2 linked regions of the Schizosaccharomyces pombe genome follow. The protein of the gene in region 2 interacts with the protein of the main gene of each other region in a pairwise test. Each region holds a gene or a part of one and is shown on either strand. Other genes may lie near its edges.

Region 1 (4,789 bases), 2.6 Mb from region 2:
CAAAATAAAATTAGAAATGGAAACTGTGGATGTTAAACATGTTAATTGGAAAAGGTCAATCATACCGAGTCCCTTCAAGGTTATGACCAAAGTTTTAGTGGTAGGTTTAAGCAACAATTCTACTCCCGTAAGCTGCTTCTAATGGGAACTAGACTGTAGCAATAGCGTTCATGTTTAACCAAAAGCTACAAGTTATATGAAACGGTCATTTGCAAAAGTCAGTAAGTTTCAATGACTATAATGAAAATATATTGACTCGACGACACATAGTGAATCATGAGTCAGAGTCCGTATGAAGTAATATGTTCCTAATTTGACGGCTGCATTGAAAATTCAGCAATCGGAAGGAATGAATAAGAGAAAAATATTCAAAAGAAGTGAAATAGCTACGTGGGTTAATCAATAGTGTCTACGTCCAATTATTATCTGAGGTATACACATGCAACAATCACGGCATTTACATCTCAGTAAATTAAAATAAAGAAAAATAATATCATTAAATTAAGTCAAAAGGTTTAAAGGTGATATCCTATGAATTCGGGAAATTGCCAACTATATCTTAGATAGTCACATTTCTACCAAATTGACGTAGAGCTTAATTAAATATTCCAGATGTTGCTAAAGTATTCTCATATTGTCAACTGCGAAGTTCAACATCTTTCGATTTGCAGAACTGATTCAATCCAGTGGCTAACTCATGGTCGTATGTACGATCCGTTCTGTCTATTTTGATTTAATGTGACCAAAAGTTAAACTTCATCTCGTGTATAGTTAAAAGATATGATAGTATACATACTAAAAATGAGAATTCTGGCAAACCAGATTTAAATCAATAACATGTTACTCTTGCTTGCGACAATATAAGTAAATGTGGGCAAGAAAGATGAAGAAGTATTAGAAACAAGTTGCGGCTAAATTTTGAGAAAGGATTGATAGCGGAAAGGCTACTAATAGTAATGATATGAGCTATTATTATCAGTAACGATAAAGCCGTTTATGGTGGCGCGCGTAAGAGAACGACAAAATTTGAAGCCTAGGTAGTTTCATCAAAACCATTAAAGGAAATAAATATGAAAAAAGCTAGCAAGAGAGGCGATATTATATTTTCGCATTCACAACTTTACTATTGACGACTACGAATACCGAGGGATAGCGTTATTATCTCTCCACAAGTAATCGGCTATTTTTTGATTGGTTTAAATAAAAGTAAATCCTGATTATATTTGACATAATCTGCATCAAATAGAACTCTAGATTTTCCTTTCCGAATATGGTGGCCAATTAACGGTACGACTGTGATGTAAATATTACACAGTGGAGCGACACGTGAATGTAGTCCCCTTCGGTTAGCTCCTTAAAATGGAGGCCTTAAAGGATAATACTGCTTGACTTTTTTAGCATAGTGCCTTTGTTAATTGCAACAAATCCCTTCAAACAAAAAAAAAATAAATTTTTATAAAGAAAAACTTTTTATTTCTATACGGCAAGTTCATCTCATAAAGTAAACAAATCATTTCCCGATTGGCTACCCTAGCCCTTCGTTTGTTTGTTTTGCAGTGACGTCAAAATTCATCTCACCCGATCAACATATATAAACATTGCGACACAAACCAAAAAGTTACCGACTGCAGCATCATATTTCTCAGCAGAAACGTATTCTTATAGTAATCCAAGTCCAAAATTAAGGAATTGGTATCTTAAACCACCTTAGTACATAGTTCTCTATTGTTTATAAGCCTCTTTACTTGCCAGGGACGCAGTAAGACATTGCTTCCTTCACCACCTTCATTATCCTTTACCTTCTTTCTCTGTCCACCTTATATATATATACTTATTTTCCCAGGAATCCTCACTTTTGCCATTAATCCATTCCATCCTTCTGTAGAACGACGAATTGTCATCCCTTCCTTTATCGTTCGTTCATTTCCTAAAACCGGGACACTACTGCATGCTTAAAACAGAGGAAAAATAAAGAGAGAACACATTTATATAATTGAAAGAAACTTTTCCATTGATAGCTCCTAAGTTTCAAATCACCAACTTGTCGGTTTATACATTCTTCATTTTCTTTTATTTACTTTTTTGAAGAAGTTCACAGGGATCACTATTCAGAAATTTTATACAAAGATATTGCATCCTTATTCATCAATCCAAATTTGCGTCACTTGATCGACCACAATTTGCTTCATCTTCCCTTCCCAATTTGTTTCGCCAGCACCTGAATAACATAGCCTCTTTTTAAGATTTAACCTTCTTCAAGAAATCACTACATATTCGCACTACTAACAAAAAAGAAACTTTCGCTTTTTATTTAGTCCGTTCTTGTATCAACTATCTTCATCGGCTTTACCGTCGAAACCATTTCAACCGCACTCAATAGAAAATTAACTTGCTCATCATCAATCTTCCATCATGGATTTCGCAAATGTGTATCTCGGGTTAGATACACTAGGTAATGAAGGATATGGTGCTAGCGTCAGTAATGGCACTCACCATGATTTTCATTTTAACTTCAATACATTCCGCGATGGTGGTAACCATGAAGTTGGAGAAAAACGCGCTGAATCTAGCGATATCGGAGTATATGAATGTAGAGGTCCAGTCCAGGGACCTAAAGATCAAACATCCTTTCCCTCGAATTCACATAATAACTACGCTTCAATAGTAGGTGATGCTAGCATTGGACATTACCTCAAAGGACCCGAGCGTACTTCAGAGGTATCATTACCTCAAACGGTAAACCTTTCGGAGATTTCTAACAATAATGACAAAGGCCAGCCTACAAATACTCCTCCTGTACGCTCAACAATTGTTGCACCTTCATTATACTCTGAAGGTAGTACTTTGAATCATTATAATAATGGATCTCATCAAGTGCTTCATCCACAATTCCAAAATGGAACCAACGCCCCATACGTAGTGCAGTCAAATCTTATGCAAAACAATGTTAATCTAACAGGAGCGGAACAAGAAAAAGGTTTGGACCTATATAAGAATTCCGCTACTGCGAATAACGATGAGATTTTCTATAATCTTGAATCCTTACGTAGAGAAGGATACTTAAACTCCAACAAGAAGCAGTCTCAATCTCCAAATGGAGACTACAACAGCAGCGATGAGTCCTGTTCCAATAAAACCGTCGCCTCCAGTCAACGACGGGGTACACCTGGCAGTAACAATGTTCATACCGCTAGTAACAATGAAACTCCTGATATGAAGAGGAGGCGGTTTTTAGAGAGAAATCGAATAGCCGCATCGAAATGCCGCCAAAAGAAAAAGCTTTGGACACAGAATCTCGAAAAAACAGCACATATCGCATGTGAGCAGTCGAAAGCTCTAAGGATTTTAGTCAGCCAACTACGTGAAGAAGTAATTTGTTTGAAGAATCAACTATTAGCTCATCAAGATTGCAATTGCGAAGGAATTCGACAATATCTTTCTTCAGAGGCTCAAGGAATTATGTCCTTTCAGAAACATTGAGCAAATGACACCCCATTGAATCAAGTTTCGTAACATTTTTTTATTATACTGTATATGCATTTCTGAGAGCCTGGATAGAATCTTGCAATAGGAGATGCTTAAAAGACGGCCAGTGCTGCTCTACTGCTTGTCTATAGTAATTGTACTTTAACTCTGGCATATTTTATTTTTCTTTTTTCACAATACTATTATTTTCTTCGCGTCACTGTGTTCATGGGATTTGCAATCTCACTCCAAACTCGTTTCATTCAATTGCTTGGGTTTTTCATTCATGTTTCTTCATTAAAAGTGTTTATGTTTCGAAGATCCTTTACGCACGTTTCATTTCCAGATTAATAATTACTGTAATGATATATCTTCCCTATATGTATTTTTTTAATAGGTTACGATTGCTTTACGAACTTGACCTAGATGAGCCAAATCTGTAATCACTGCCATATAATCTGTACCTCGTTCACAGACATGTCATTTTATCTTCAGTACGACACCACAGTTACATATATTGTTTGCTTTGGAATAAAAAAAAAATTAAGTAATAGAATAACACTTTCTGAAGTAAATGGTAGAAAAGATAACAGTATTCGTAGAGCAGCTATAATTATATGCATTTTTGCGTTTTGCAGCAAAAGATCACTATACTGCATAAGGAATTTTTATACAAACCATGTGTCTTTATTTAGTACATTAAGACTATATCCCGTTTCTACTCCTTCAGAAAGTGCTTAAGCCCTCTCTTAGCAAAGAAACGAGTGTATTATTAAAAGGAATGGCACCCTCAGAGAAAGACATTGAAGAGGTATCAGTCCCTGGAGTTTTAGCACCGCGCGACGATGTGAGGGTTTTAAAGACACGAATTGCCAAATTATTAGGAACAAGTCCTGATACATTTCCTGGATCACAGCCAGTTTCTTTTTCAAAGAAACATTTACAAGCATTAAAAGAAAAGAACTATTTCGTATGTGAAAAAAGTGATGGAATTCGTTGTTTACTTTATATGACCGAGCATCCTCGGTACGAAAATCGACCCAGTGTATATTTATTTGATCGTAAAATGAATTTTTATCATGTTGAGAAAATTTTTTATCCAGTTGAAAATGACAAATCTGGAAAAAAATATCATGTTGATACACTTTTGGACGGTGAGTTGGTTTTAGATATCTATCCAGGTGGTAAGAAGCAACTGAGATATTTAGTCTTTGATTGTTTGGCATGTGATGGAATTGTTTATATGAGTCGATTGCTTGACAAACGCTTGGGAATTTTTGCTAAAAGCATTCAAAAGCCCTTAGATGAATATACAAAGACTCAT
Region 2 (3,731 bases):
CGTCCAAGGTGTTTAAATAAGCGTTCCACGGACTATCTGTTATATTTTCCAATATTACAGTTATAACGAGCATGACCAGCCCAACCTGATCTCTATTGTCAAAGTTAATATCATCAGACCGATTAGATTCATTAAAATGTGTATACAACGAATCTCCAAATCTTGAGTTGCGAGGACTCAGAATGATCCTTCTAGGAATCTTTGCTAAAACTTCAAGTTCATCTATATCAAAGGTAGAAAATATACCATCTCCTGCGACCCCACTTGAAGCGATATACAGTTTGGGTGAAATGTAAGCTTCGTGTTTTGCTAGCCATTCAAGTAAGGGTTGGTACTTCAAAAATTGCTTGGAATTGTTCATGCTTTATTTAACATGTTTTAATAAGTAGTTAATAATATTTTTTATGCGCTTTCCGGCAATTTTGAACATTTGAAAGTTAATATCTTTTCAAAGCAAATTTGATTTTAAGCGTAGGTAAATACTCCAACCTTCTGATGTACACATTGATTTTTTGAGTAAAACTTGAACGTATCTTAGAACAGAAGATAATTAATTTCTCAAATTATGTTTAATAAAGCACATTAGTCTGTTCAAACTTGATTTTTAATCCGCTACGCGTTTTCAACCTGTCCGATACAGAAGGGCAATGCAGGATGGATCGTAAATATAAAAACTACTATAAGAATATGATTGAATACGATTGAAAAGGGGTAATAAACAAACGCTTTAAATATAAAAAGCTTCTTCATGGTGATAATTTTACCAAGAGTTGTACAGACTTTTCGCAATAATGCTTTTTCATACAAATAAATTATTTCATTTATAAAACATTCATAATTAAACAGTAGATACTTCCATCAGTAATGGAGAGATGTAAAAAACTAAAAATAATATATGACATAGTTTGCACATTACTTCCATTCACTATCCGTCGTAAATTGTCATGTCAAATTTTAGAAGGAAAAGATACACATAGACTGAGTATGCTTAATAACTAATAAATTCGAAGAAATTTACATCGACTCATATGTCCCATTTTTTACGGTTCGCTTGAGGAACTAGCATAATATGCGGTTGCTTGTTCTGTTCTTTTCTTTAATTTCACATTCTCAATACAAGATCTTTCATAAGCCTTGCATTCTTTCTTCAGCGTTTGCTCAAGAATCTCCTCATACTCAGTCTTTAGATCAGTGATACTTATTTTATTGTGCAGGACTTTTTCCACACAATTAGACAAGCGATAAAACAGTTCAGCTTGATAAGCCTCATTGTCATATTTCTCACTTAATAATTTCAAAGCCATGTCCTCAATTTTAGCATTAAACTCCTCTTGTTCTGCTACCATCAAAGCCATTTTTTCGTAAGCTTTAAGCAAGTGCTCAAATCGCTCACGCATTAATTCCTCGCCGTAAGCAGAAGAATCGGACATCGTTATGCTCATAATCGGTTTTTTTTTCTCTTTCACAAACAATTCTAAGTTTGGTGTGGAAAGATACTCACAGTCAAAGAGGGATTCACACCGCTGCCAAAACACAGCAAATGTAAACAAACAAGAAGAATTCTATTCAGTTAAACAATATCAATTGAATAGAAGAAAATATACAATAGTTTAAAAAGTAAACAAAAATATAAAAAAAAATTGATAATTTAAAGTGGGGATATCTGCTTCAATCGCAATCTATAATGTTCTGAATAAGCAGTAAATGCAGCGTTTATGCAGTTTTGCCTCATCTCCTGCGAAGCTGGCAAAGGTAAATATCTCACTGACTTGTTAGACAACGTACAAACCAAGTCATGCTCAGATACCCGCAAACCACTAATTTGTTTCACGGGTACAGCGATTTTAACAATATAATTACTTCCGGTTATAATAAAATGCTTCGTACTGATATATAGAATGTCGACATTTTGAATTTCAGCATGGTAAAGATATTCATCAAAGGCATATTTGCCGTCATCCAAACAACTTAACATATATTTTCCGAGCGACTCGTAGGGTTTAAATGGTACAATTAGACCTCCAAATTCAACATATCTTGGCACACGTACTTTATCAATTTCAGGATTAGTACGAACATCGGTTGAGTTACGAATGCCTTCACTCACGTTGCTGGTCATATCAAGCAATCCTATAGCAGGTTTGGTAGCTAAACCAAGCATACCCTTGCCAAATCCCTTCAAAAATTTGCCAGCACTGTTGTTTTTTGGATCCGTAAATGGCTTTTTGAGACCTTTGAATCCACTAGACATGCTGTCGTAAAAGCTGTTAGCTCCAGCGGTTACGCCATATACAGCTTCTTTTGGCCTATTTCTTGAACGAAACCGTCTTCTAGAATTTTGATATTTTGGATCCATAGTCATAGTTGAAAGACCTTTAGAAATCGTCCCAGTAATCTTTGATACACTATCTGAAACACCATAAATAGTTTTACGCATGAAACTAGATGTTCCACGAGCAAATGAATCACCGAATGATTGCGAATCTTGTAACAAAAACCCCTGATAGGGTTCATAAAACATATCAAATACACCAGATGCAACGTTATTGAACAAACCAACGGGGTTTCCCAAAAAATCAGCTCTCCCGGCAATTTTGTATATTTGGTAACCAACCTGCTGTTTATAATGACTTGCCACTCGGTTTGCCATTTCGGAAAGTGTGCCACGAGCATTTTCAAGAAGAATGGAATTCAGTTGCACGGGAGCATCATGAATATTACCCAATGTGCTAATCAGTATACCTGTCATAAAATCTAATGTGGGATTGGAAGATTTGACAGCTGGTTGATCCGATTCATAAGAAGTTTCAAATGATATATTTAATCGGGTTGGTTGTAAATGGAGAGTCTCAAAAAATACGTTACTGCGATAAACATCCGCGTCAAGATCTGGTATTTCAAACTTATCCGCAAAAGCGTTCTTGCTGAGACTTGCAGAATCTTTAGAAACATCGGATGATGGATAAAGCAATTGTAACAACGTTAAAACCAATCTATCCTCCACTTCGAGCGATAGCTCTTGAAGAAGGAGAGAGGCATACTTAATGTATAGAATATTAAAACTGCTATCTTTAAGGACGGAAAATCGCAGCTGTAAAAGTTGGGGATCGTCTTGTTTGACTTCTTGGGTAATCATTGTAGGAAACAATGCAATTGGATATACAGAATCCAACATCTGATTGTCAATTTGAAGCCATCCCAATGACATTCCAAAAGTATTAAGGTCTTTACTATCATCAAATCTAAAAGTAAAATTCTTCAAAGTAGCATATGCAAATTCCTCATATTTTTTGTCAATTAAGGAAATTCCAAATCCCTTCAACTGCAAAACTAACTTAAATTTCTGCTCGACAATCGAGCCTTTCACGTTGGAATTTGTTCGACTGGGTAATTTAGGTTTACTTAAGTCAATTTCGTTAAAAGTAACGAGAGACGTCAAGCTATCAACCTTAACTTCAGGGTGTATCCTTATTTTTTGGTCTAATTCTGTGGGGTGCCATGGTTCAAGTTGACCCACCGACGAAATATCAAGATCGTGAATTGCTTTTCCAACTTCTACTTGCAATAATTTTGATTTCAATATCGGAAAGTCCCAAGAATAATTAGCCTCTTCCCCGGGATTAAGAGCGTATTTCATGCTCCTAGAACCTTGGAGAAACCGGCTATCAACCGATTCTGGATCTGGTCGCTTTTGTTCATAGCAAATTTCTCGAGACGTGCAATTTTTCAGC

Evidence for each region. Proteins that work in one complex are often made in the same cells at the same time.
Region 1: the proteins of spo2 (region 2) and atf21 interact in a two-hybrid assay, tested with the Schizosaccharomyces pombe proteins (one large-scale study listed by BioGRID).

What each region holds. Positions count from the first base shown.
Region 1 is NC_003423.3:1,720,601-1,725,389, forward strand, and holds atf21 (Atf-CREB family transcription factor Atf21), read left to right. Parts: upstream 1-2,412; coding exon 2,413-3,480; 3' UTR 3,481-3,850; downstream 3,851-4,789. Other genes in the region: mRNA guanylyltransferase Ceg1, read left to right, coding at 4,247-4,789.
Region 2 is NC_003423.3:4,321,181-4,324,911, forward strand, and holds spo2 (protein Spo2), read right to left. Parts: upstream 1,443-3,731; coding exon 1,041-1,442; 3' UTR 844-1,040; downstream 1-843. Other genes in the region: SPOM_SPBC16C6.01C (lysine methyltransferase), read right to left, coding at 1-361; vps1302 (lipid transfer protein), read right to left, coding at 1,649-3,731.